Linked DNA regions of Oryctolagus cuniculus. The protein of the gene in region 5 purifies or fractionates together with the protein of the main gene of each other region. This does not show direct contact. Links are inferred from orthologs where the notes say so. Each region holds a gene or a part of one and is shown on either strand. Other genes may lie near its edges. The genes, in order: ZNF503, HIPK2, RYBP, TROAP, DCAF7, CSNK2B and FAM53C.

The links.
Region 1: the proteins of DCAF7 (region 5) and ZNF503 purify together in Homo sapiens (affinity purification with mass spectrometry; 4 studies listed by BioGRID and IntAct, counting the BioPlex papers as one, with this or other methods). This does not show direct contact. The link is inferred for Oryctolagus cuniculus from reciprocal best matches to the Homo sapiens genes DCAF7 and ZNF503.
Region 2: the proteins of DCAF7 (region 5) and HIPK2 purify together in Homo sapiens (affinity purification with western blotting; 3 studies listed by BioGRID and IntAct, with this or other methods). This does not show direct contact. The link is inferred for Oryctolagus cuniculus from reciprocal best matches to the Homo sapiens genes DCAF7 and HIPK2.
Region 3: the proteins of DCAF7 (region 5) and RYBP purify together in Homo sapiens (affinity purification with mass spectrometry; 3 studies listed by BioGRID and IntAct, counting the BioPlex papers as one, with this or other methods). This does not show direct contact. The link is inferred for Oryctolagus cuniculus from reciprocal best matches to the Homo sapiens genes DCAF7 and YAF2.
Region 4: the proteins of DCAF7 (region 5) and TROAP purify together in Homo sapiens (affinity purification with mass spectrometry; 3 studies listed by BioGRID and IntAct, counting the BioPlex papers as one, with this or other methods). This does not show direct contact. The link is inferred for Oryctolagus cuniculus from reciprocal best matches to the Homo sapiens genes DCAF7 and TROAP.
Region 6: the proteins of DCAF7 (region 5) and CSNK2B purify together in Homo sapiens (affinity purification with mass spectrometry; 4 studies listed by BioGRID and IntAct, with this or other methods). This does not show direct contact. The link is inferred for Oryctolagus cuniculus from reciprocal best matches to the Homo sapiens genes DCAF7 and CSNK2B.
Region 7: the proteins of DCAF7 (region 5) and FAM53C purify together in Homo sapiens (affinity purification with mass spectrometry; 3 studies listed by BioGRID and IntAct, counting the BioPlex papers as one, with this or other methods). This does not show direct contact. The link is inferred for Oryctolagus cuniculus from reciprocal best matches to the Homo sapiens genes DCAF7 and FAM53C.

What each region holds. Positions count from the first base shown.
Region 1 is NC_091446.1:66,425,254-66,429,452, forward strand, and holds the start of ZNF503 (zinc finger protein 503), read right to left. Parts: upstream 2,801-4,199; 5' UTR 2,428-2,800; coding exon 2,122-2,427; intron 1,403-2,121; coding exon 1-1,402. Other genes in the region: translation initiation factor IF-2, read left to right, coding at 2,885-3,454, 3,779-4,199. UniProt on the Homo sapiens protein: May function as a transcriptional repressor.
Region 2 is NC_091434.1:184,334,268-184,337,767, reverse strand, and holds part of HIPK2 (homeodomain-interacting protein kinase 2), read right to left. Parts: intron 2,497-3,500; coding exon 1,413-2,496; intron 1-1,412.
Region 3 is NC_091441.1:76,787,019-76,791,081, reverse strand, and holds the start of RYBP (RING1 and YY1-binding protein), read right to left. Parts: upstream 2,801-4,063; 5' UTR 2,786-2,800; coding exon 2,586-2,785; intron 2,083-2,585; coding exon 1,957-2,082; intron 1-1,956. UniProt on the Homo sapiens protein: Binds to MYC and inhibits MYC-mediated transactivation. Also binds to MYCN and enhances MYCN-dependent transcriptional activation. Increases calpain 2-mediated proteolysis of YY1 in vitro.
Region 4 is NC_091442.1:52,742,683-52,746,182, reverse strand, and holds part of TROAP (tastin), read right to left. Parts: 5' UTR 3,479-3,500; intron 3,201-3,478; 5' UTR 3,183-3,200; coding exon 3,039-3,182; intron 2,938-3,038; coding exon 2,745-2,937; intron 2,527-2,744; coding exon 2,369-2,526; intron 2,281-2,368; coding exon 2,143-2,280; intron 1,983-2,142; coding exon 1,900-1,982; intron 1,424-1,899; coding exon 1,371-1,423; intron 375-1,370; coding exon 253-374; intron 1-252. UniProt on the Homo sapiens protein: Could be involved with bystin and trophinin in a cell adhesion molecule complex that mediates an initial attachment of the blastocyst to uterine epithelial cells at the time of the embryo implantation.
Region 5 is NC_091448.1:15,152,663-15,156,938, reverse strand, and holds the start of DCAF7 (DDB1- and CUL4-associated factor 7), read left to right. Parts: upstream 1-1,476; 5' UTR 1,477-1,727; coding exon 1,728-1,865; intron 1,866-4,276. UniProt on the Homo sapiens protein: Involved in craniofacial development. Acts upstream of the EDN1 pathway and is required for formation of the upper jaw equivalent, the palatoquadrate. The activity required for EDN1 pathway function differs between the first and second arches.
Region 6 is NC_091436.1:138,947,093-138,951,023, forward strand, and holds the start of CSNK2B (casein kinase II subunit beta), read right to left. Parts: upstream 2,801-3,931; 5' UTR 2,782-2,800; coding exon 2,710-2,781; intron 1,645-2,709; coding exon 1,542-1,644; intron 982-1,541; coding exon 866-981; intron 459-865; coding exon 383-458; intron 239-382; coding exon 49-238; intron 1-48. UniProt on the Homo sapiens protein: Regulatory subunit of casein kinase II/CK2.
Region 7 is NC_091437.1:26,138,827-26,142,326, reverse strand, and holds part of FAM53C (protein FAM53C), read right to left. Parts: intron 3,207-3,500; 5' UTR 3,053-3,206; coding exon 2,975-3,052; intron 2,583-2,974; coding exon 2,525-2,582; intron 659-2,524; exon of another isoform or gene 576-658; coding exon of another isoform or gene 527-575; intron 1-526.

The DNA.
Region 1 (4,199 bases), on a different chromosome or scaffold from region 5:
CCGCGGCGGCGCTGGCCAGGGACGACGAGCTGGGGTAGCCCGACAACAGTTTGTCTGTCCCGGGGAAGGCCGTGTGGGTCCGCAAGTGGCTCAGCAGCTCTTCCGATGTGGCGAAGCGCTTGTCGCACGGCCCGTTGGCCGACACCCAGTTGCAGATGTGCGGGAGCGGGTCGTTGGGCAGCATGAAGCCATAGGGGTAGAGGGGGTGGCCGGCCAGTGAGGGTGGTGTGGCGCCCGCGGCAGCGGCGGCCGTTAGCGAGGAGTGCACACCGTGCAGCGGGTGCGTGGGGTACACCAGCGGGTATCCGGACTTGAGCGCCGCGGCCGCCGCCGCAGGGTCGTGTGCGCACGAGGCGCTGGCGGCTGCCGCCCCGGCCAGGTGGCTGGCGCAGTGGTAGCTGAGGCAGTACGGGTCCCGGCACAAGCTGGCTGTCATCACGGACGGCGGCGACGCTCCAGCCAACGGGCTTGAGCCAGCCGGCTTGCTGCAGCCCAGCGAGCCGGCCGCGGCCGCCGCCAGCTGTGCGCCCACCAGGCTGCCGGGCTTGGTGGGGTCGAGCGCCACGCCGTGAGGCAGGAACTGAGGCGGGTAGCCGGCATAGGCCCCGGCCAGGCTGCCCGGGTAGGTCATGCCAGCAGGAGGCAGAGGAAACACTGTCTGGCCCGGCTTGTAGGGCGACACTGGCGCCACCAGCCCAGAGCCCAGCACCGAGGAGGAGGCGGGCGCACCGGGGCCGGAGCCTGAGCCGGAGCCCGACGAGCCGCTGCAGTCCGCGCCCAGGGCCTTGGCCCCGGGACCGCCGTCTGCGTGCTGGTTCACGTCCACGTTAACCCCGCCGCCGCAGCTAATCCGGCCGTGCGCCAGCCCCGCGGGTCCCCCTTCGGCCGCTGCGCCCCCAGCGCCCTTGCCGCCGCCGCCGCCACTCGCGTCCGGGTCTTTCTTGTCGTCTTTGCCATCCGGACCGCCCCCGGCCGAGGGCAACAAGCCTCCCGGCGAGCAGGCCGAGGCGCTGGAGCTCGGGCTGCCTGTCCTGGGCGTGAACGGCTGGCAGGTGGCGCTCGGGACCCGGAATCCCGACTTCTCCGCCGAAGTGCCCCCGCCGCCGCCGCCGCCGCCACCACCACCACCACCCCCGCCGCCGCCGCCGCCTCCCGGCTCCTTCTTATCCGAGCCGGGTTTGGAGTACGGTTTGAAACTCGACTTGTCTTCCACGCCGATGTCACTCAGCTTGAGGGGGCCCGACTTGGCGTCCTTGTCGCCGCCGGCGCCGCCGCCAGCACCGCCCGCGCCGCCCCCGTTGGAGGCGACCGAGGAGAGTTTGGACGAGGGCGAGGGGTCGGGCTTCCCAATCTGCGAGCAGGTTTGCGCCAGCAGCGCCAGCGGGCTCTTCTTGGCATCCAGCTGCAGAGTCAGACGGGGAACGGATCACACGGAGAAAGAAGGGGGAAACCTTTAGAATCCTGGCCTCTGGGGTCCAGCCCCCCCCCCCATGCTGCCCGCGCAGATTCCCCCCAGCGACGAGGTGCGGAGCCGGGCGGCACCCCCACACCCACCAACATCCTTGCCCTAGGGACAGGCGGCGGACTCCCACCTCCGGGCAGAAGCTGTCCTGCCCTCTCCTGATGCGAATTGGGTTTTCAAAAAACACTCGCATAAGGTTTCGGGGTGAAAGGCTGGACCCAGGACGATACCCCTCTGCGCGCGCACCTTTGGATTCCTCAGAGCGAGGGCACGGGCGGCTGGAGCCTCGGAGGCTGTGCACGCGCCAGCTCCAGAGGACCCTGGCGCGGCTACTCTGCCACCGGATTCCAGACGCCCGCCGGCCAGCAGCGCAGAGGGTAGGGGCCTGGGTCGCGGTCGGGTCTTTCACACCGAAAGCAGCAGCAAGTTTTGGCCGCCCTGTCCCCTAGCCTTCGCCTGGAACCCAGGGTCCCGCCTCCTGCTCCTTTTCCGCCCCAGTTTGGAGGCGCAGAAGCGCCGTCTTCCCCTCTCCCCGGAGCTGAATCACCACGGACCCCACCCCCACCCTCAGGTCCCGAGAAAGGAAACCCTGCAGGGCGGCAGCCTGGGGAGTGGTCCCCCCCCGCGACCGGAGAGGGTGGGGGTGGGGGGTTCCTTACCTCGATGGGGCTGACGGGCGTGGAGGGCAGGGGCTGCAGGTACTCAGGGTGCAAAATGTGGCCAGTCCTTGCCGTCAGCATCTTCAGCACCTTGATGGGCAGGCGGTTAGCCTGGCGCAGAGGGTCGGAAGGGGGCACGGCGTGCACAAAAGGCTTGGTGGGGCCGGCCGGGGACGAGCCTGGGCCGGGGCCGGAGCTATTTCCAGAGAGCGCGCTGGTCCAGGCAGGGTCTGCGCCTCCGCCGCCGCCGCCGCCGCCGCTGGGCTTACTGCTTCTTAGGGCAGAAAGCGAGGGCGCTGTGCTCATGACCCACCCGCGCGCATGGGAGCAGCGGGGGGAGGGCCCGGGGCTGCGCGCTCGCCCGGGGATCAGGAACCGCAGCCGCAGGAGGAGCCGGCGCGCCGGGCGCCACGAGCCACGGGTCCCGGGCGGCCCACCGCGGAGCCGGCTGGGCTGCGGGTCCGCCTCGGGCTGCGCCCCTGCGCCGGCGCTGCGCTCAGCGATGTGAGCCGCTGCCTGTCCAGCCGGGGCTCTGGCGAGGAAACTCACTTCAAAAGCAGCTGCACCGAGGGGGAGATTAAAGCCTTTGCCGCCTTCCAATCAAATGGGAGCCCGAGGTGATTGGAGGGTCAAGGGGATGTGACGCGTCCCGCGCCGCCGCCGCCGCCGCCGCCAGGACTCTCCGAGCTGGTTTTAATGGGCAGCTCCCTCTTCGCCGCCCTCCTCTGCGTGTCCCCTCCCTCGTTTTCACTCCGAGGACGAGATGGACGTGTATTCTACGTTTGCCATCTGCCGCCTCCCTCTTTTTTTTTTGCCCTCCTCGTCGTCTGTCCTTTCCTCGGCTCGGAAAATTAACCGAAACCTTCTCTTGGAAGCAAGCAGCGGCGATGAGGACCAGTCTGCGGGCGTAGCCAGGAAGGGATCCGGCAGGCGTGTGGACACCAGCCAGATCGTCGGCGCCCGGCGGCGCGCACGGGGCCCGCACACCTGGTGGAACCGAGATCGCGCGCGGCGCGGCCACCCGGGGAAGGAGCCCGGGCGCGAGCGAGTTCGCCCGCCCGCTCTGGTTTCCCGAGACTCGGCGGTGGAGAAACCAGAAGTCACTCAGGCCGCGGAAGCGGTGGCTGCTCATCCCAGCGACGGGCGCCCGGCTCCCCGCCCTCCGCAGCCACGTGACACCCAGGGACCCGCCGATTGGGGCAGGGGCGAGGTCACGTGCTTCCTCTGTTTCACACTCAGTCTGTCCCCCCGCCCCCATTCTTACTCTCCCCTGCCGCCCTCCCCCCGCCCCGCGCCTTCTCTGGGCATCTCCACCCCTCCATCAATTGTCAATGTGCCTCGACCGCAATCAATCAGTTATTTGTCAGCTCTTGTCAATCCGCCCGTGATTTATGTCAGCTTTTGTTGCTGATTACAAGGCGGGTGCGACTTGCAGGGAAAAAGAGGGAGAAGAGAGAGAGAGAGGAAGGAAGAGACCGGGAGGGGACTGGAGGAGGGGGCGAGAGGAGCGGCCTCTAGGGATTGGGGTGGGGGCTGAGAAAAGAAAAAGAGGGGCCCGCCGGGGTGGGGAAGGCGAGGAGTGGAGTGCGCAGGTGCGCCCGGGGCGCCAGGAGGGCGCGCGACACCTCTCCCGGTGGTGGGGGACCCTCGCACCTAGGGGGCTTGGGCCCTAGAGTTTGTAGGGGGCGGGCTGGGCACCGGCGGCGTCTCGCACGGGACAGTTCCCGCCCCGCGTGGGGCGGTGAGGCTGCGGCTGCGTCGCTCGCCCCGCAGTGCCCCGGCGCCCCCTCCCAGACTTCTTTCCACGCCATCAACAAATCCTCGGGGCCTGGGGGTGGGGGTGGCTGGAAGAGCGGGTCCCCCCAACTCTTCGGGCCCCCGGGAATCGTGGCCAGGGTTGCGAGGCTGCGGAGAGGAGGCCCGGCCGCGGGTGCGTGGGCGAGGCTCGTGTCAGGTTCACTCGTGCCCCCCGCCGCAACCGCCTGCCCGCGCATCCCGCGCCCTGCGCCCTCCCGGCGTGCCAGGAGACCGGTTTCCTCGGAGCTCCTCGCTCCAAGGTGTGGGAACGCCGAGCCGGC
Region 2 (3,500 bases), on a different chromosome or scaffold from region 5:
GCTCCTGCCATGTGACCACTGCTCTTCCCAGCAGGCGGGGGAAGCTGGGAGGAGACTTGCGACAGCGCTGTGGGCAGTCAGGGGGCCAGGAATGGGTGAGGATCAGCTGTGTCGACGCAGCTGTAGCACATTCTCCAGCTTTTTCTCCATGGCCTTGAAGCCCCCGGGCAGAGGGTCTCAGGCAGCAGTCTTAGGGACCTCTTCCATGTCATCGGGCTGTCTTCTCGCAGGAGTCTGTCATTTCTTACCACTTGCCTGGTCCCTGCGCCCTCAAGGACAACCCATCACTATTGCCCCAAACCACCTCTCTCTCTGTCTTCAGCCAGCTCCTCCCTGTGCCCCTCTCGGGCTGGCTGCTGCTTGCAGCACCTACGATGTGTTAACCACGGCGAGCGATCAGCCCAGCAAGCGCAGAGGCCGGCTTCTCCCAGGTCATGGGTTAGGAGATGAATGTCTAGGGAAATGAGGCAACTGGCCCAAGCCACACAGCTTTTGAGCGGAGGAATCAGGTCCAACCCTGGGTCCTCCTGACTCGGAAGGCAGCAGAGAGCAGCTCTCAGCCTGACTGGCCCTGGGGCCCAGGAAAGCTGGTAGAGGTCATTCAGCCGGCCCGTGGGTTCTGTCTGCGGAGGGCACTTTGGAAGCGCCCCAGGAGTCTTGCAGGTGCAGCCAGGGCTGAGAATCAGTATGCAGGAGACTCCAGGACGGTGAGTGCCTCGTCCACGACCCTGCACTTAGCACGGCGCCGGGTTGGAAGTAAATGCTTGTTGAATGACTGACTGTACGGAGGAATGGTTGCCTAATTCACACTTCCCAGAGGCTCCACAATTCTCCCCTCGCCCAGACCCGAGGCTTGCTCACCACAGGAGTGAGCAGCCGGCTCCCTGACTTCTCTCTTCCTCAGCCTCCTCCACACGGGAGGTGAGAGGAGCAGCCTTCCCAGCCTTCACCTTTGGCTGTTCAAATCTCAGGACACAGTTGCCAAGCTTTAGCCTGCTACTCAAGACCCCCAGCAACCTGGTCCCACTCTGTGCTGGCTCGCAACCACACCTCCCTCAGAACTCTGCCGGCAGGTGGCTGACCTGTCTCGCACATTCCTACGGCAGGATTTTGGACAGCACGGCCCGCCCTCTTCTCCACCGTGAGGACCCAGTTCCTCCACCTTGTCTGGACCTTCATTCCAGCTCCCACGGATCCCTTCCAGCTCTGAACAACTAGACTAAGCCTCCTCCTTGGCTCTGCTCTTACCTGGCTCCTCACCGTCATGTCAATGTGCGCCAATAGGACCATAATTTCCCAGCTGCATTAAGATCACTGGCGGGCAGCAACTGTTCACACGCGCTCCTATCTCGCCCTGGGTGACGGCCACCACCGGGCCCCTCACGGCCCCTGTCATCTTGGTGCGGTCTTACCTGTAATACCGGGACTGCAGGTAGGTGGAGCACACGGCCTTGGACACGTGACTGGCTGACCCAAAGTCGATGACCTTCACCCTGTACGGCTGCCTGGACGGATCCACCAGCATGATGTTCTCCGGTTTGAGGTCAGCGTGGATGAGCCCGAGGCTCTTGAGCTTCATCAGGGCCGTGGCTACCTGCTGGAGGACCGGGCGGATGTATTTCAGGGGCAAGGGGCTGAACTTGTTCTGCTTCAGAAAGTCATAGAGGTTCTGCTCCAGCATCTCGAAGACCAAGCAGGTGTGATTCTTGTGCTGGAAGCACTCGTAGGCCCGCACGAAGTTGTAGTCGTCGGCACTCTCTGTGCTCAGCCGGGCCAGGATGCTCACTTCAATCTGGCCCTGTCGGGCATAGGACGGGTGGTTCTTGAGGATCTTGATGGCTACGATTTCATTGGTGCCCCGCTTCCAGCACTTGACCACTTGCCCGAACGTCCCTCGGCCCAGGAACTCCAACACCTCGTAAGTGTTGGTCATGGAGCACAGCACTTCATGCTGGACCAGCTGGTAGTCACCCTCGCTGTTGGAGCCGCTGTTCTTGGAGGTGGCAGTGGACGTGGTGGCAGTGGCGACCGTGGCCCCGCTGGCATTATTCTGAATCATGGGTGGATGCTCTTCGATGATCTGCACGCTGCTCGTGTTCTCGATCTCCTCGCTCTTACGCTTGAGTCCGCATTTCTGGTAGGTGTCAAGGAGGCTGACGGTGCTGCGCCGCATCAGGTTATGTGGTCCGCCGAGGACGGGCCCAGGGACAGACGTGCTGCTTGCGGACGTGACCACTATGTGCCCGGTGCTTCCTGGGAAGATGATGGTCTGCTCGTAAGGTAGGCTGGGGTTTGGGATTGGCAAGGAGGTGCTGACGGTTGTGGTGGCTGGCTGAGAAGGTGCTGTGTTCTTGCTCTGGCTGTACACTCTGCTGTGGGAGCCGTACCCAGTCATGTCCCAGCTGGAACTCGGCTCTACTTTGAGTTTCTTCACACTACAGAAGGCACTTGATTGGAGGGTGTGAGGGGAGAAAACTTGCACATGTGAGGCCATACCTGTGAGGAGAGAAGAGGAGAAATAAATTCTGAGCCACCTCTGCATGAATAAACCCCAGAGATCCGCTGCAGCTCTGAGATGGCCTGGAGTCAACAGCATTTCCCTCCCACTTCAAAATAAGGCCGGGAACAGGAATCTACTGCACTCAGAAGCGGACCTGTTACTCAGTGTGTGGGTCACCCTGCCACCAGCAGGGGGAAGGAGGCTTGGAACACAGAATGAGAACAGGGACTCCACTCATCTTTTTAAATATCAATAGTGTTTGTGAAAGAAACTGCTATCAGGTGGCCCCTGGTTAACTGTTACAAGCTTAGCTACTCCATGTGGTCAGCCAGCTCAGTTCTGTCAACAGGCCCCAGCGGTCAGGTGGCCCCGTGGGGGGCTCCTCTGGTCTTCTGGCTGAACAAGTGCTGCCTGGCATCTGAGCCGTCTTAACCAAATTCTGCAGGGCTCTATCACAGTTGTTCCCAGAGCAACTGTCCAGCTTAGCAGTTGACGCCCGCGTCCCCAACCTGGGTTCAACACCCACCTGCAGCTTCCAACTTCAGCTCCCTGTTGGTGCACCCCCCAGGGGGCGGTGGTTCTGGCCCACCCACGTAAGGGACCTGACCTGAGTTCCTGGCTCCCGGGTTTGGCCTGGCCCAGCCCTGATGGTTCCAGGCATCTGGGGAGTGAACCATCAGACTGGAGCTTCCTTTCTCTCTCTCTGCCTCTCAAGTTTAAAAAAAGAAAAATTATAAATAAAAGAGTCTGACATTTTCATTTAGATTGACTAAAACATGATTATCAGCCTCTTCGCCGGGGAGTGGGAAGCACAGATTATGGACTCGATTCACTCATTTTCCATGCTAAATTCTTACATCGATAAATTTTTCTAGAAAGTACTACTATTTCATATTAGCACTTTGCCCACAATTTAGCTAACTTCAGAAATTTGTAAGATGATTGCTTGGGAAGAGTTGTACAATTTATAATCACGGCGATACCGGAAACATAAAAACCC
Region 3 (4,063 bases), on a different chromosome or scaffold from region 5:
ATATATGTACTGGCAGTAACCAAAATGAAACCAATTTGGTCAGGTGAGAGTATTATAAATATAAGTCCTCAGATCTGTGTTCAAATCCTACCCAATAACAGACATCAAAGTTACACAACAACTCTTGAAGATAGTAAGTTAGGTGGATTATCCTATTCGTGAACCCTCCAAAATATTCTTCTTAAAAATCTAATGGTTTAATAATGTTAATTTACTGTCATCTGTGGCTCCGAAAGAAGTTTAAGCATATATGTTATTTTTAAAGTCAAAGCCTTCCCCATGTTTCCAAAAAGTTGATGAGTCAGGTTTTTTAAAAATACATGTAGAAACTGAAACGCATTTCGTTACAATTATTCCCAGCATTAAATCAGATATGAACTCTTGGAATTCGGTTTAAGTTTCTCTTCATCAATAAGGTTTTCAAGTTCTTCTGAGTTTCCTAGTCATTTACTTGAACATCATCTACAGTAACACTCAAAGCAAAACCACAATAAAGAGGTTTGGCCTCTGAGGGATTCTACACGTAAAAAAAAAAAAAAAAAAAACATTACTCATAGATGCTACACAATCATCATTGCTTTAAATAACAAATACATTTCTAAACTTTCATGCCATTCGATGGAATTCCCACTTTTGAAGACAGCAAAACAAAACCTACAAAGCCACGAACACAAAAATTTGACATGCGTTTACTTTAAAAACTACTTATGGGGGAAATATTTGTAGTTCTTGGGTATTTTTATTCAAAGGTCCCATTATTTAGAGTTAGTGGAATTCACAGAACTCTTCTACCAGTAATGAGAGCAATTAATCTCAGAGTTACATTCCTTCAGGTTGCCCAATATCCTATTTAATACCAGATATAAATGAAGCAACGAAACCTTAACAGGATACATTCATTTCGCCAAGAGAACAATGTTCAGCTGGACATGCAGGGTACTACTACACAGTCACAGAGGAATGCCACCAATTCAAGCCCAGAAGACCTGTGGAAGGAGACTAGGAGACTCAAAGAAATCAATTCTTAGTCCCCAAGAACTTCTATTCACCAAGCACTCACTCTCACTCTCGCACCTTCAATGTCAGTCCATCAAATGCGACCAACAGTTTAACTTCAACTCTAACACTACTGAAACAAATTCCAGATAGAAGTTAAAAGATGACCAACAGACCACAAAGCCAGTCTTGACATTCTCTCCAAGTGTATCTAAATGTCCAATCTAAAGTTGCTGAACTCGTTTTGATAACACCTGCAGTTTACCACCTCATCGAAATGGAAAGGAATTCTTTCAACATTCTTTATTATAATGAAGGTTTAAACACAGACTTCAACAGTCACTCTTCACCATTCTGCAAAATCGGTGTAAGCTCATCAAAAACAAATAAACAGTCTCAAAACAACCACCACCACGGGGGGAAAAAAACTGAACAGCTCAGCCAAAAAAAAAGAAAAAAATGCACTTTCCTTATCAAACCCCAACAGTCATTTTCAAGTGCAAGAAAGTAACAGACATTTGCAGCTCCCTACCAGAAAAGCTCAATCAGCCTTATTGTACTACCACCACCACCAAACTGCTCAGAGAAAAATAACTTAGGGCAAGCAAAGCAAAGCCACTCCGCACATGGCAAAAATAAATAAAAAGGTTCCTGTCCCAAATCCGCAGCCATGGTGCCGCTCTCTCCTCTCCTTCCAAGCCAATGGACACAAGTGTCAAATAGATGCAGGCTGTGTGAAGTTAAGCTGGGAAAAACTCCCTCCCATAAATCATTCGGGCAACACGAGGCAATGCACCCACACGAAATACACGGAACCCACACCACCGCATCAGCCACCCCCAAAGGCAACGAAGGCCGCAATCAACAAGTTGGAAAGAGGGCAGCAAAGTCCGGCTCAGGACCCTGTCCCCGCACCGCGGGCCGAGTCCGTCAACAAAGGTAACACAGAGCGGCAGGTACCTGGTGGAGGTGCCTTTCCTCACGTCGCAGATGCTGCATTTGAAGGCTTCAGCGCTGTTTCGGAAGGTGCAGACGCTACAATCCCAAAAGCCCTCATCGGCGGCAGGTTTCGCTTGTCTTTTCGGCCTTCGGAGGAGTCGGGAGCCGGGGGAAGGGGAGGGAAGAGACCGAGAGCAGGGAAAAAGAGGGAGAGACAGCAAAAACACAGGCGCTGTGAGCCGCCGTAATTTCGCAGGAATCCGGCGCTGGAAACTTCGCCCGCGCGACCACCCACCCACCCCCCTTCCCGGGAACTGGAAGGGCGAGCGAGTGAGCGAGCGAGCGAGCAGGCTGGCGGGCACGGGAACCGGGCGGGCACGGGAACCGGGCGCCCCCGCCGGCCGCGGCGGCCGCGGGCCGGGCCGGATCGCCTCGCGCTCGCCAGGCGGCGGCGGCGCCCCGGGAAGGGCCGCGGCGGGCGCAGGAAGCGGGCGGACTTGTGGACCCGAGCGCGGGGCTGGGGGGGCCGCGAGGGGAGCCGCGGGCCGGATCTGGAGGGGGCGCGCAGGGGCAGCCCGAGGCCGGCGGCGGGGAGTGGGCCGGCTCCTTCCCGCTCCCCTCCCCTGCTCGCGCCCTCCCTCCCTCCCCACCTGGTTAAATCTCCCTTTGTCTGGGAGGAGCGGCGGCGGCGGCGGCGGCGGCGGCGGCGGCGGCGGCTGAGGAGGGCGGCTGAGGAGGAGCCGCCATGGCTGCGGCGCGCACGGCCGCCGGCCCCGGGCAGGAGCGACACCGCCTCCCGCCGCCGCCGCCCGCCGCTGCCGCCGCCGCCTCCCCGCCCCCGGATCTCCATCTTAGCAGCGCCTCCCCCCGCCCGGTGGCTCCGGGGCCTAGTCGTCGCCGGCCCCCGCCCGCCCCCAGCCCGCCCTCCCCTTCCGCCCCTCGGCTCCGAGCAGGTACCTGGTCGGGCTCTTCTTGTCGCCCATGGTCATGGATGGGCTGTACCCCCGCCCCCCCCAAGCCGAAACCCGCGCCGCTCGGAGGAGAAACGCCGTCCGGGGAGTCGTCGCGGAACGGCCCCCCTCCCTCCCCCGCGCCCGCCCTCCCTCAGCCGCTGGGGCTCGAGCTCCGGCCGCTGCCGCCGCCGCCGCCGCCGCCGCCAGTCTCCGGACGAGACTAGTCCCCGCCAGCGCCGCCTCCGCCGAGTGACTGACGAGGGGCGGGGCCGGGCGCCGCGCGTCACGCGCCTGGCGGCCAATGGCAGGGCGGCGGCCGGGGCCGCGAGGGCGGGGGCGGGGCGCGGGGGAGGGCGGGGCGTGGCGGACGTGGGCCGGGCCGTCGGTGTGCGTGCCCGGGAGTGTGTGCGCGCTGGGGGCGCGCGTGCCTGCCGCTGGCCCCGCGGCCCGGCGCGGCGGAGCGTGCGAGCTCGGCGGGGCGCACGTGGCCGCGCCCGGGCGCCGGCAACGGGCTTCGGGGCCCCGCGCGGCCGCCCGGTGCGGCTGTCGCGCGGCCCTGGGCCCCGCAGCCGCTCCGGGGAAGTAGTTCCAGGCAGTTTGCGCGCGCGGTGGGGGTTGGCCACAGCCGCGCCGCCCGCAGCGCCTCGAGGCTTGCTGCGCCCCGGGAGACCGCGGGGCTTCGCTGAGCCCGCGGGCCCCCCCTGCGCCCTTGTGTTCCTCTGCCACGCGGAGCTTTGTAGCTGCCTCTCCGGGAGTCCCTGCCCCCCCCCCCACGCCGAGACGCTAGCCCGCAGCCCTCCGGGGCCCCCGCTGCGGGAGGGAACTCTGCAGAAAGGGTGTGGCGTAATTCACTGCCCGGGGCTGGCCGCGGAGCTCTGACTTCTCGGACCCCCGGGCGCCTAAATAAGGCGTTTCCCTAGGGAAGTTGCTATTGAAATCGTGGCGACCTCAGGCCAGCCTTCTAACCTTGTGTCTCCAAAATGAGGCTAATAACCCTTCTCCTTAGAGACAGATGCGTGGAAAGCGCGCAGTGAGATCCTGGCACTTGGGCAGGCACTGGGTAGGGAGCGGGTATGGCTAGGCCCTGGCTGTGCTTCCCCGCGCTGGGAGATGTTTGAAGAACAGGTAGTACCCATCAGTTTCTGCCCCACTTCCAAGAATGCTTGCCAAATTGA
Region 4 (3,500 bases), on a different chromosome or scaffold from region 5:
GGCACTGATCTGATGGTGATTCGAGTATATCCCTATCTGTAACCTCTCACCCCCAGGCCCCAGACACCTGGAAAAGAGAGGTCAGCCCCACTCTGGTGAGGGCTGGGGTCCATCTGGGGCAAACCCTGACCCAATAACACCCCAAGGCCCCGAATGCCAGGTTCTACCCACAATCCTCAGTGCTGACTGCTACAGGATCCCCCAGGCCACTCCTCTACCTGCACCTACTGTTCCAAGAGGGTCCCACCTCACCTTGGTGTGTGTGATCTCTTGGATTTCTCTTAGTGGTATTCGCTGAGCCAGACCAAGAGGGCCCCCTCCTCCTTCATCTGAGTGAGAGACAACCTCCTGCTCTCCCTCAGGGAGAGAGGAAGCTGGGAGAAGGCAGGAAATTGGCTGCAGTACCTAAAAAGCCCTCCAAAGACTGGCACAGGGTTTTGGCAACCTTTGAAGAGGGTAAACTAGTTGGATTTTAAAATTTTTTTCTTCTGTGTTTGGAAGGCACACAGACAAAGAGATAGACAGATAGACCTTCCACCTACTGGTTCACTCTCCAAGTGTCTGTAGTAGCTGGGGCAGGGCCAGGCTGAAGCCAGGAGCAGAGAATACAATCCAGGTCTCCCACAGAGGTGGCAGGGACCCAAATACTTGAGCCGTCACCGTCACCTGCTACCTCCTAGGGGACCATTAGCAGGAAGTTGGATCAGATCGGAGCCACGGTTTGAGTCTTGGCTGCTTTGTGCTTCTGATCTGGCTTCCTGCTAATGCGCTTAGGAAGGTAGTGGGTGCTGGCCCAAGTACTTGGGCCCCTGCCATCCATATAGGAGACGTGGATGGAGTTCTTGGCTCCTGAGTTTGGCCTGGCCCAGTTCTGGAGACTGTGGCCATTTTGGGAGTGAACCAATGGATAGAAGATTTTCCCTCTGTCTCTTGCACTCCAGTTTGAGATCTGGGTATCCTGCAGTGCTATACCAAACACTTACCCTGAACATAAACCGCTTAATACCCCCTTCTACATTAATACAGCAAGGACTCATACAGAGGCCAACACTATCTCAGTAAAGCCTTATTTATCTGAACACCCCGAGGGGGCTGAGGGTGTGGTGATGGCTCTTAGGGACTGGGATTGGACACTGAGTAAAGGCAAATCTTGCAAAATGGAAGGGAAAGGGCAGAAGCCAGGACTATCTCCTTTGACGCAAGTGCAATAGGCCAACTGCTAGTTTCTTCCTAGCCTCTCATCTCCCCACTCCTCAGGGGTGTCCCCCCGACCCCGCCCTCTCACAACCTGCTGAGCTTTCTCCTCTCTCCTTCCCACTGCCGGCAGCCCACCTGCCCCTGGTCTCTCCCCCATAGCCAGACACACTCACCAGGCTGGACTGGGGTCTCCAGGAGCAATCCCGAGGCCTGGCTCACTGTAGTCCTGATGACAACAAGGACAGCAGCCAGGAGGCACTGAGTAGCAAGTGCGACCTGGCCATTGCTAAGTGCTTTACACACATCACAGCATTTCATTCTGACAGCAACTTCCAGTATCGCCACAAACACTATCCTCGCTTGGTAAACACCAAAACCAATGCTCAGAGAGCCTAAGGCAAGCTTGCAGGGCTGAGTGAGTGAGAGTCAGGAATTAAACCCAAATGCCATCGGTTGCCACTGTCTGTGCTCTGGCCGCTAAGCCAGTCAGCAACTTACACTTCTGTCTCTTCTTCCCCTCTCATATCCCAAGGACACGTCATAGCAAGCCAACCCCCTATTCCAAAGACTCCCCTGGGCAACCACAGGCTTCCCCCCAGCACCTGCAGAGGGTGCTCTGAGAGCTCCTGGAAGGCCTGAGCTCTGCAGGACCCCTCTCCAGGACAGGGGTTCATTCTTCTCCAAACACACTCTCCTTCTCACCGGCTGCTGCCACCTGTCCCTCTTCTTAGCTCCTGGAAACGGGGGCGGGCAGAGGAGTGCAAGGAGCTTCCTGCAGGTGGAATCTATTGCGTAGGAGCAGGAGATGGAAGCCAGGTCACAGGTGGGCCCAAACCTTCAAGCCCCACTCCCCAGCCTGGCTCCTCCCTCAGGGCCCATTGGCTCACCCTGAGTCAGTGCCTCTCCCAAGCCCAGCTCTCACATCTGCTTCTCAAGGGCACTCACCGTAGCCTCTAGCCTCTGGGGATGCTCACTCCGGCCTCGGGGTCCTGGTCCCTCCAACCTTGAGAAACAGGAAGCCCTGGCGGGGTCTAGTTGCTGGATGGGGGTTCTGGGAGCCAAATATGCAGAGGCCCGAGCACCCTGGGAGCCCCAACAGAGGCTCTCAGCACAGGCTCGGATCTCTCCTTGGCCCACCCCAACCTCATCTCCTCACATCCGGTCTCATTACCTGGCCCCTCCGGGTAGAGATTCCCTGGTTCCCTCGAATCAGTACTCTCTGAGCCAGACTGGACTGGCGCCCCAGACAATAACTCTTCACTCCCTCACCTGATAGGATGGTGGCCAGGGCTACGGGGTCAGCCACAAACTCTATGGCTCCCGGAGCCTCTGCAAGGGAAGAGAATGAAATGTGAGGGGGAAGAGGCAGGGGGAAGGCTGGGGGACCAGGGACCCTGGGTAGTCATCTTGTGCTGTAGGAGTGAGCAGAAGCGATTCATTCCATGGAACTCAGCTCAGAACTTTAAGAAAGCCCCCAAGCCCCACTGTGCCCTTCCCATTCCTCCACTCAGCCAGGGAGGCCGTGTTCCCAGGATTCCAATAGGTACCTGTCCGGGGAGGGGGTCCAGGCCCCACGTTTTCTCTCCCAGAGTTAGGCCTGAGCTCCTCCAAGGTGATCCAGAAGGGAGAGACCCCCTCCGATCCTTGTGATCTCTCTGTCGGCTGCGTGCCCTTCAACTTGGAGCCTGCCGCATCAACAAGGGGGCCTTGAATACCGAGCGGAGGCCTTTGCACCAATCCCTGGGGGCGGGGGGAGAAGAGGGGACAAGAAGCGTTGGGGTGCACTGCAGGTGTGCGCCGCCTCCCTGTCAGTCATCGTCACCCACCAGGACCCCTCTTACCCTCGGATCTTGGTTCTCTTGGTCCGGGGCGCACGATCTGACGGTAGGGAAAGGTGGGCGTCGCTGAGAGCGCACGGGAATCTTGCTAGGGGTGGGAGACACACCCCGGGGGAAGGTTTCCTTGGCGGCCTGGAGGGTGCTCATGGTGGCTACAACGTGAGGCTGGAAGAAGGCAGGCAGAGTCGGGGTCAAAGGTCAACCAGTGCTCAGGGCACCGGTCCTGACTTCCCTAATAACTTCCACCCCCACCCAAACCCAGGCGCCCAGAAGCAAGGCCGCTCCTCTGGGTGCCACCCCCAGACATGTCGAACCTTACTCTTTAGTCCCTGAACCCGGACCTGCTCTCCTCCCTGTGAACCCCCACAGCCCTCATTCCCTTCAAGATCCCCGTGCCGCCCCTTGCCGGGACCCGTCAGGGTCCCCCCACCACCACTTTTCACCTTTTCCCTGATTCCCGGCTCC
Region 5 (4,276 bases):
AAAGGACATAATTTCAGCGCAGGCAGTCTGGCGTGAGAGTTTGTGCAGTTAACCATTCTGCTGAAGGGGCTGTTATCTCCAGGATACCAACTCACTGACCTTCAGTCTCGGTACTTTGTGCTCCAGAACTCTCTAAAAGAATTCTGGGAAATTTATCTCTCCTCCATTTTTAAGTGGACATCTGAAATATTTCATTGATAAGTTTAAATAGTTGCAAAGGAATCAATGTCCAGTGCATTATAAATATTGACACTATATAGAATTTTTTCATCTCATGTATATTTATCCATATTTATCCAGGTAACATAGATTTTAGAGCCATCATCATCCACTTTAAAAACATAAGAACAGGTTTTCATAAGTCTAATTATCCCTTCCACTCTAGTTTTAACCTACATGTAATTTATTTTGATGCTTAAAAAATTTTGATAACCCTATCATGTTTGCAACACACGTATATTAAACTGAAATTTTAAAAAGAATTGTAACTTTAATAAGGCACTGTAAGTAGTATTAAGTGGGGCCAGCATAAAGGCCCCACCTGCGGAGGCAGCATCCCATATAGGCATGGGTCATGTCCTGCTGCTTCAGTTCCAGTCTAGCTCCCTGCTAATGTGCCAGAGAAGGCAGCGGAAGATGGTCCAGGTGTTTGGGAGACCATACGAAGCTCCCAGCTGGCTTCCACCTGGCCCAGCGCTGGCCCTTGGGGCCATCTGGGGCCTGAACCAGCCAAGAGAAGATCTGTCTCTTCTCTCTAACTCTGCCTTTCATACAAATAAATCAACCTTTAAAAAATAAAAATTAAGAGCAAGGCTGGTGGGCTCGGTGCCCAATAAAGACCAACCCAAGACATGGGAACATTTCTAGAATCTGCAGGAAGGCGCTGTAAGGCCTGACTCAAGCTGGCTTGGCCCTGCGCACACCTGCTGCGTGTCTGAGGCCTGCCCTTGGAGCACTGGAAGCACAACTCTCCCGCTAAAAAGGCTTTGAGGGATAAGTGCGGCGGGCCAAGAGGTCAGGCCTTGGACTCAGTACTGTAAAATGCGGTAGTCCTCCATTAAGACAGAATTTAAATTTTACTCAACAGCCTAGGGAGGCCGCTCAGTCTAGCAGCAGCAACGGTGAAGTCAGGGCAGGTCGCACAGAGGTTTCACTCTCAGCCACTTGGCCTAGAACTTGCAGGTCGCCTCTGGGCCACCCACGCCCCTATTCACCCGCACTGCGCCGTTATCTGGGTGACTGACATCTTGGCTAGCCAATGACCTTCGGGACTGCGAAAGCGCCTGCCTCCAGGAATTGGGCGGGGCAACTACTTGGAATGATAAATACTTGCACCAATAGCGAGGAGATTTCAGACGCCGCGGTCGTAATAACCAATGAGGAGAAGGAACCATTTCGAAAGGACGTGTCAAGCAGCCAACGGCCGACGCCGCTCCAGGGGGAGCGGGTGGGGGGCGGTCGCGTGGCTTCCGTTCCGAGGAGGCGGGGCGACATCCCAAACGGAAGGTGGTTGTTGTCGGTGCCGAAGCTTGTTTGAAACTGGGGGTCGGGCCCTGTTGTCGTTGTTTGTCGCCGCGGCCCCGCTTCCGGGCTAGGCAGTTCCTGCCCGCCCCCGCCCCGCCTCCCTTGAGACCCCTCCGTCCCAGGCCCGGCTCCCCGCCCGAATCCGCGCCCCGCTCTTCACTCCCCGCTGCAGCCCCGGCCCGCAGTGCGGCCCCGCCGCCACCATGTCCCTGCACGGCAAACGGAAGGAGATCTACAAGTATGAAGCGCCCTGGACCGTCTACGCCATGAACTGGAGTGTGCGGCCAGACAAGCGCTTTCGCCTGGCGCTGGGCAGCTTCGTGGAGGAGTACAACAACAAGGTGGGCCGGGCAGGGGCTCGGAGCCCAGCCGGCGGGGAGCGGGCCCCGGGTCTGGCCCTGTGCTGGCGGTTCCGCTCTCGTGGTCCCACGTAATCCTGCGTGGTCGGGAGCGTGGAGGGGAGACGGAGGCAGCGCGTGTGACTTTCCCGAGGCAGACGGGTATTTCGTGGTGGTAACAGGTCTCAGAGCCGAGCTGACGTTCTGGAGCTGCGCCAGGTGTCCGCTCCCAGGCCCTCCACTCCTGCCGCATTGCCTCGGCTGGGAGGCGGGGAGGGAACAGGGAGCGATGAGGCTCCCCAAGTGGTGGTCGCGGCGTCCCTGGCTTGCTGAGGGTTTCCCCGCCCCCTAGTCGCACTCGGCGCGTCCCTTGGATCTGCATCCCTGCTGCCTGGTTTCCAAGGCCTTCGCTGTGGCCTCCCGCGACCTGCCCTCTCCGAAACAACCTGTTTGTTTCTGGACATCTTGGCCTGCAGCATCATCCCGCCATTGTTTTCTTGGCTTCTTATGTGCTAATAGTCCTGCCGTTTGTAACCTCAGGTAGCGGAGCTGACCGGACGACCACCAGTTTGAGAATCCTTCATGGAAACTCTGTTGCTAGGGGATGCTTCTGCACCTGCAGTGCAGCAGCGTGCATTTATTTTTGAGAGTAATTAGCTAAGTCAGTGGGAGGAGTTTTCTTCTGTATCTTGTTTTTCTTGTGTTGGAGCAACAGTTGTGAATAACCGTGAACAGAGCACCTGTAAGGTTCAGCTGGTGGTGTTTAGAGGCTTTCCTGTTCCTCCATGCATATCAGATTGAAGAATAAAGCTGTGGCCGTTGGCAGGCCTGGTGCAGGGGAAGAAAGGATTGAGTTCCGTCTGGTTCACCCACTGGCTTTGAGGCGTCACACCCCCGGTCATTTCTGACCCACAGTTTGCTATAGGAAAGGGGTGCTGCTTTACACATGAAGATCTGTAAAAAATAAAATCTGAGCTTTTAAAAAAAGATTTATTTATTTCCTTACTTGAAAGGCAGTTACAGAGAGAGGGTGAGATAGAGATCTTCCACTGACTGGTTCATTCCCCAAACGCTTGCCAACAGCCAAGGCTGGGCCAGACGGAAGCCTCCACCCAGATCTTGCACATAGGTGACAGGGACCCAAGGACTTGGGCCATCGTCTGCTCCTTCTCAGGTGCAATAGCAGGGACCTAGATCTGAAGCAGAGTAGCTGGCATGGGAACTGGACTCCGCTGCGTGCCACTGCACCGCAGCACCTGCCCCACAGCATTCGAACATCTTCAGTGTTCACAGTTTTTCAGGAGCACATTTGTTTCTCTCTGCAGTAGGTCTTAACTTCTTTAGGATCCCCTTTGGGAAACTGACGCGAGCCACGGGCTTGCATTGCCAGACATACTCATACACGATTTACAAACAAATCCTAGTGAGTATGCACTGATCTTTTAAATTTACCACTGACTGTGCAAGACGTAGCTTTAAAAAATTTTATTTATTGGAAAGGCAGAATTTCAGAGAGAGGGAAAGACAGAGGAGAGGGAGAGCTTCCATCAGCGGTTGGTTCACTCCTCAAATGGCTACAACAGCTGGGGCTGGGCCAAGTGGAAGCTGGAGGCCTGGAACCCCATCTGGGTCTCCCACAGGGTGTCGGGGGCCCAAGTACTTGGGCCATCTTGTGCTGCTTTCCTGGGTGCATTAGCAGAGAACTGGGTCAGAAGTGGGACTTGAACGCCGGCGCCGCAGCTCACTAGGCTAATCCTCCGCCTTGCGGCGCCGGCACACCGGGTTCTAGTCCCGGTCGGGGCGCCGGATTCTGTCCCGGTTGCCCCTCTTCCAGGCCAGCTCTCTGCTGTGGCCAGGGAGTGCAGTGGAGGATGGCCCAAGTGCTTGGGCCCTGCACCCCATGGGAGACCAGGAGAAGCACCTGGCTCCTGCCATCGGATCAGTGCAGTGCACCGGCCGCGGCGGCCATTGGAGGGTGAACCAATGGCAAAGGAAGACCTTTCTCTCTGTCTCTCTCTCTCTCTCTCACTGTCCACTCTGTCAAAAAAAAAAAAAAAAAAGTGGGACTTGAACAGGTATTTATACTGGATGCCAACATCACAGGCATTGGCTTAACCTGCTGTACACAGCGCCGGCTGCAAGACACAGCTTTGTTTCTTTTCCTCTGGTGCCTCTTTCTCCCCTGTGGCTTGTAGAGAAGGCAAAACAGCAAGTGGAGTTCAAGGTCCTGATGTCGACATCATATTAGTAAAATTAAGACCACAAGAACTACTCTTTCAAAATACACATGAAAAAATAAAAAGTAAGATACGTCTTTCAAACAACTTGAATCCACATAAAGTGATGTAATTTTGCAAGTTCTTTCAGGGTCAGTGGGCAAGCTGTGGCTCTCATTTCTGAGAGAGACAGACTGA
Region 6 (3,931 bases), on a different chromosome or scaffold from region 5:
GATTCTGAGTCTTTCCTTTGACACATGGTGACTCTGTCTGCTCCCCACCTGGGCACAAACTGGTTGGCGGGTCGCTTGGGCCGGTACTCGGGATGCACCATGAAGAGCATGTGAGGGAAACCAGTGCCGAAGTAGGCACCATCCGTGTGATGGTGCCTCGATGACTTGGGTGTGTACACGTCCATGCACTTGGGGCAGTAGAGCTTCACCATGGCCTCACCTGGGATGTCCGACAGGCCTGGGAGACAGCCAGACTCAGCAGGCCAGGCACCCGCGACACTGCCGAGTCCCCTGCCCCAGAACTCAGCTCCCGCCTTGCTGAGCCCAACTCCTTCCCAGAGGACTGCCAGATGGTGCCCCCTCTCCCTTCTTCAATACTCACCGATAGGAAGCATTGGCTGGTTCTCACAGTATACACGGGGACAGTAGCCAAAGTCTCCCTGCTGGTACTTTTCCAACTGAAGGGAAAAAAATGGAAGGGATTGGTGGGTGGGTATGAGGATAAGCAGCGACCCCCACATAACTCTGTCCTCCACATTTCCTCCCTCTTCTTGGAGGTCCTTGTGCAGATCAAAGGGGCCCACCAACTTTCCCCCCAGTTAGGGAGGCTAATGACATCCAGGGCCATTTGCCGTCTGTTCTCTGAGGAAGAAGCAGTCCACAACTCTGACCAAGCTCACATCGCCCTCCCTGAAGACACCCCCTCAGCAGGACGTCCAGGGAGGACTCAGTTTCCCGGCCCAAACTCTGGGTTTTTCTCATCTCAGCTCGACTCCTTGACAGGGCTGCCAGATTACTGCTCACTGTAGGAACCTGTTTCCCTTACTGCCTCACAAGGAGTCACGCAGGCGCAGAGAGGCCTCACCATCTGGGCGATGCCTCGGTTGGTGAGGATGTAGCGGGCATGGATCAATCCGTAAAGCATCTCGGCCGCCTGCTCAATCAGGTCGCTCTGGTTGGGGTTGTCTTCCAGCTCTTCGTCTGAAATATGGGCCAGCCACATGCAACCACTGGCGTTCCAGCTTTCCCAGGTGCCCCGCCCACCCCCAGGGCTGTTGGCTGCCCAGTTTGCCCAGCACCCATCCTTGAGCTTCACCCAGTCCTCACGTGGGCATTTAACCTGGGTCTCTGCCCCTTCCACCAACCCAAGGAAGCCCAGCCTTCTCTCCACACCTCTTCAGCCTCTGCTCTCTTCTCTCCCTCCCAACTCCTTCCTTAGTACGTAAATACAAAGATGTCAACACAGAAGGTGGAACTCTAGACTGGAGGGTGCAAGGCAGGCAAAGAGGCAGTAAACAAGACCCGCGAGGAAACTCGCATAAGGAGGAGCGCTGAGCTACAAATTCAGAAAGTATGGCAGCAAGTGCTATCAGTCACAAAACTAGGCAAGAATTCAAGGAGGGGGGCAAAAATGCTGCTGGGACTTTGAGGTTAAGGGTGTCAGAGAACCAAAAGGAAGTTTAGAAATTCAAGAGGTAAATTCAAGAGGTAATTTGAAGAGAAAAACAGCCCCCCCACCATGAACCTTGAGGGTGTCTCACCAGGTTCCAGGTCCAAGATCATGTCTAGAGCTTGTCGATAGTGAGGCACCTGCTCATTGAGGCCGGTAAGGTTAAATTTGTCCTGGATGTAGTCTTCATCCACCTGGTAGAACACGGAGGTCAAGAGGAAAACTCCTACTGGGACCCCCAGCTTCTGAGCTGGCCAAGGTCACCTAACGAACGCCTTGTCGGCCACACGGCTGCGTCTGGTCTGCCTGTTTCCTACTCCAACTCAGCGTCAGTACTTCAGCCGCTGTCCCGAGTTCACACGCACGCCCTCCCCCCCGTGAAAGCTCCAGCTTCTCTCCTCCAAGGACAAGCAAGCACAGCAGTCTCCTTAGAGACACACTCGACTCCCGCGTCTCTAGTCCTGTTCCTCATCTCTAGGAACCAGTTCTGTCCTCTCCTGAGGGAACAGCTGCTCTCTGAGGAAGGTGGAGGCTGAACAGCTTGGTTTCTGAAGGTGGTTAGAATTCCTTATGTCAACACAGAGCTTTGCATGTTACAGAACATTTTAAGGTGCAGTATTCCAATTCTCCTAACAGCCCCCAGAGATAAGCACTACCAGTAGCATTCTAGTAATGAAAAAGCAAAGGAGAAAGGACACTTGGCACGGTGGTTCCTACATGGTTAGAGATAACCCACATCCCAAACTGGAATGCTCAGGTTCAAGTCCCAACTCCACTTCCAATTCCAGCTTCTTGCTAACACACACCCTGGAAGGTAGCAGGGTGATGGCACAAGTACTTGAGTCCCTGCCACCCACATGGGAAACCCAGGTAAGTTTTGGGATCTTTACTTCAGCCTGGCTGGTAGCAGTAGCTGTTGTAGAAATTTGGGACATAAACCAGTAGACAGAAGATCCTTCACTTTCTCTGTTGCTCTACCTTCAGATACTTTAAGTACAATAAAAAAATTAAAAAAGAAAAAGAAAAAAAAAAGATGGTCTGACTAGTTCAATGTTATCCTCCTGGGGGTGCGGTGGGGTGTGTGACAGAAATGGGACTTGGGCCCCAGTCTTGCCACATCGCCGCTGATTAGTGGGGGGTTACTGAGGGGACCCCTTCTTTCACGGGAAGGAGTTTCCACGGGATAAAGTGTGCAAAAGCTGAAGATACCCAACCTGAACGCATGGAACCAGCGAGTAGGAAGAACGAAAAGCACTCACTTCACAGAAGAATTCATTGCCACGGAGCCCACAAAACCAGGAAATCCAGGACACTTCCTCCGAGCTGCTCATCTTCACGTCAGCTGGAAACAGGAGTCAAGTCCAAGCTCTCCCTCCCCGGCTCTGGCACCTTCCCTCCTCCCACACTCTGTCTTTCAGCCATGGAAGAATTTGGGGCCACCCTTTTTTTTTTTTTTTTTTTTAAAGGATCCCAGCCTTTGGGACAGGCTTCTCTAGCTCTTGTTATTTACACCTCGGCCCCTTTTCTCTGAATGAACTTAGAAATTCCTTGGCAGGAGCCCACAAGTACCGACCCAGCAGTCCCTACCTACATCCCCCGCGCCCCCGATGGCCAGACCCCTCTCGCCTGTGTCAACTCTGGCAGAGTCCTCGGCTCGGGCTCCCTACCACCGCAGGGCTCCGGCACCCTTCCCCAAGAATTAGAAGTTTATCTTTGCCAAGCAACGACCGACACCTCCTTTTCTCACGACCCGGGGCGAGGGGCGGGCACCGCCAGGTACTCTTTCACGGAGTCCCCACAGCCTGCCTCCCGCTCTCCGGCCACCCTTCCCTCCCACGGTTACGGACCGGGTCACTTCCTTCCTCGCCCCCACCTCAAGGCGGGGAGACCCCATGTGCCGCTCCTAGGGACCGGGAACTCCGCGGGGCAACCACTTCACACTCACCAGCTGGACGGGGAGCGGGACCGGGGTGGGGGAGGGGAACAGCTGCTTCCAAAGAACGACGGCGACCGCTACAGCGAAGGCCGCGGACCCGACCGCGGCAGGCGAAGTCGGGTGGGGGGAGTGGAAATCGGGGAGGGTGGGGAAGAGGGCAACGCGCAAGCGCCGAGGGGCGAGAGCCGCGGTGGACGCTGGGAGATGGAGTCCGCTAGGGCGAGAGACCGGCGAAGCGAGGGAAAAGCGAACTACGAATCCCAGGACAGCTCACTCACGACCCTCGTGTCGCGAGGCCCCCGAGGACGCGGCTCGGGGGCGGGGCACAGCGAGGCGCCACCGGAAGCGGAAGCCAAGTAAGGCGTTCGGGGCCAGGAGCCTGGGAAATAGAGTCGTATGCTCACTGGACTGAGGGGCCAAGAGGGGGCGGGGGAAGAAGCGAGGCGAGTCGGGTCGCAGACGTTGCCCTCGGGGACCCTCAGTGAGCCCTGGCCAACCCTCCTAGTTCTTATCAAGTCGGGCACGGCCTTGCACAGGAGAGCCCC
Region 7 (3,500 bases), on a different chromosome or scaffold from region 5:
ACGCTGCCCCTTGCTCCCGGCCCCAGCCCTGGCTTCTGAAAAGCAGCCCTATGCTCTCCTTCGTTGACCTTTCCCTTCTCATGTGTCAACAGCACCAAACATGAGTTAGGGCTGCCAGGAAGTAAGAGGTAATCAAGCAGGTAAGAGATCACTTTTATTCCTAAGGAGGGCAAACAAGGTAGGGGAGGCCTCTGACAGTGGAACCGGGGCTTGGGAGGCCTTAATACTTCATGTTGTTCACACTCCTTTCTGTCTGGCCAGCCACATACTCTGGTTCCCTTTTCCTAGGCCTTCTCTCATATCCAAATGGATGGAGGGACCAAGGGGAGAAGGGGATATGACGAAAGATATGATTCTAACTTACTGCATTCCAACCAAAATGGTGACTTTTGTCATATAGCTCATTAAGGGACAAACAGCCTGCTCCAAAGTCCCCTGGCTAGCTGGCTAGAATTCTGCATGGGCTGGATATTTGGAGCAAACAACAAGTTTATATACTCAGACTTGATCATGGCAAAACTCGTACCTGATTCTACTTGGTCAACAGTTCTTCCCCCTAACTGGTGGCCCAACATCTGGCTCTCAGCTCGTATTTAATAAATAGGAGGAAGAGACTGCATGAAGATCCTTTTGCCAACCAACTCCCTTTGCCAGGTATCTAAGAAAAGGCAACAAGATGTAGAACAGCCCAGCAGCACAGGTTAGAAAGTTCTGGTTGTCTACTAGTGATGCCTTTATCTAAATATTCTCACAATCAGAGACCCTTTGATTATCTCATAACTAGGAATTTGTACCTCAGATAGATGCTCACATGTTAAAAATGACCTATGCCGCCGCGGCTCAATAGGCTAATCCTCCACCTAGCGGCACAGGCACACCGGATTCTAGTCCTGGTCGGGGCGCCAGATTCTGTCCCGGTTGCCCCTCTTCCAGGCCAGCTCTCTGCTGTGGCCCGGGAAGGCAGTGGAGGATGGCCCAAGTGCTAGGGCCCTGCACCCCATGGGAGACCAGGAGAAGCACCTGGCTCCTGCCTTCAGATCAGCGCGGTACGCCGGCCGCAGTGCGCCAGCTGTGGCGGCCATTGGAGGGTGAACCAACGGCAAAAAGGAAGACCTTTCTCTCTGTCTCTCTCTCTCACTATCCACTCTGCCTGTCAAAAAAAAAAAAAAAAAAAAAAGATTAAAAAAAAAATGACCTATGCATGAGTTCTGTGTGTCATACCAAAAGATGGTAAATAACCTAAAGGTACATCAATAGGAGGCTGGTTAAATTATGGTATATCCAGGCAAGGTAATTATATGCAGTTACATAAAACAAGGAACTGTTCAGCACACTGACAGACTCCTGGGTATATTGTAGTGAAGACAAAAACAACAACAAAAAAACCAGATTGCTATATAGTATGCAACCCTTTGCATAGAAAAAAAGTGGTGATAAGTATACATACTTTTATTAACTTGTATTTGTATAAGGGAATTCCAGGGATGGGTGTTTGGTGCAGTAGTTACACTGCTGCTTGGGGTGCCCATATCCCATAACAGAGTACCTGGTTTGAGTCCTGGGTCCTTTGCTTCCAATCCAACTTCCTGTTAATACACACCCTGGGAGGCAGCAGGTGATGGCTCAGATACCTGAGTGCCTGCGACCCACATGGGAGATCTGGATTGGGTTTAGGGCTCCTGCCTATTGTGGGCATCTGGGGACTAAATCAGCATATGGAACTTCTCACTGTCTCTGTCTCTGTCTCTCTGCCTTTCAAATAAAATGAAAATAAATAACTTACAAATTATATCAGATTTTTAAAAGAATCTATTTAGTAAGGCAGAAAGAGAGAGACAGACAGATACAGAAAGATCTTCCAACCACTGGCTTACTTCCCAAATGGCCACAGCAGCCAGGGCTGAGGCAAGCTGAGGCCAGGAGCCAGGAACTTAATCCAGGTCTCCACCTGAATGGCAAGGACCCAAGAACTTGAGCTATCACCTGCTGCCTCTCAGGGTGCACATTAGAAGGCAGAGCCAGGACTTGAACCAGGCACTCTGATACAAGATGTGGGTATTCCAGTGTGGCTGCACCACCCACCCACCCCTAAGTAGATAAATTAAAAAAAATTCTAACAAAAAGAAAAATTCTAGTGGAATATACAAGAAACTAGTAATAGGAATCTCTTTTAGGGAGGTGGCAGGAGCTGAGTGGGTAGGGGATAGCAGAGGGAGGAAGGGAGACTTTCCTCAGAATACCTTTTCTGTTATTTTTAAATCTACAAACCATGTGAATATACAAGCTAGCCAAAAAAATTGATTATAACAGTCCCCACAAGGCTAGAATCAAAGCAAACTGAATAGGTAAACCTTATGCTGGGTCAGTAAAATGGAGACAAGTGCCAATCTCAGAAGGTGACCCTGAAACAAAGTTCTAGAGGTAGGCTAGGTAACCCTGGTCACTGGAAACCAATGAAAGAAATGTGTGCACAGAGGCGTGAGCAAGCAAACACACACACACACACACACACACAGTGCCTTACCAGACACAAGCTGGAAAGGGTTCCCACAGTTGGAGATGTCTGCATGATCAGGCAAAGGCTGAGAGAGAGAGAACATGGATCATGACGCGGGTTCAGAACACACTGAGTCTAGGAAGCCCTCTTCAGTTCTCCCCTGCGATAATCGGGCTAGCAGAATGTTAGGGACTCCTAAGTGTGTTCTTCCTCTCGTCTTCCCAAAGTTAGTGAGTAAAATAATTCACATCCATCAACACCTCAAACCCTTCTCCACCCATGTTTGGGGTCCCTTCTCTAGTGGTGGAAAAATCCCTGCCCCCTTCCTTTTGAGCTGGGTTTTGAGCCCTTGGTGGGCTCTTCCAGTACAAACACCATGATTCATACAACACAGGACGAGGGTAAAGTAATAGCAACAAACAGCCTCAGAAAAAAGGGGGAGGGGGTCGTGGAGAAGCAGGAAGACTGGTCTTTTACCAGACTGATGCTGAAGCGTGTGCATTTCAGCTCATCCAGAGTCTGCTTCTGTAGCTGCTCAGTGATCAGGGTTATCATGATTCTCCCCAGGATCTGACTTGCACACTTTGGAGCAAATGATGGATGTCTTCCCTGTTGTTCTTCCAGAGACCTCACTCGTGAGCCGTCTTCTGCCACTGCAGCACCATTCTAGCACCATTGGGACTTCCCTCGCCAGTCATGCCTGCTGAGTCTGCCAATTACAGAGGGACCAGCCCCAAGCGATATTAGAGATGTACCTGGTCCAGAGATGGAAAACGCATGGCACACATACCACAGCACCCCTTACGCCAGGCCTCTGGCAGACATCTTTAACTGGTCACAGCTCTTTCCTGTTAAGCCTAAACACAGCCTCAGAAACATTCTGAACTTAGCACTCCAGCTATCCAGTCAAGTAAACTGGAGTTGATGAGCAAGTTGAAACCTATTTGCACTCCTAACCTGGTTCAAGCGCTGCTGCTTCTCCTAGAGTTCCAGTGCCACTTAA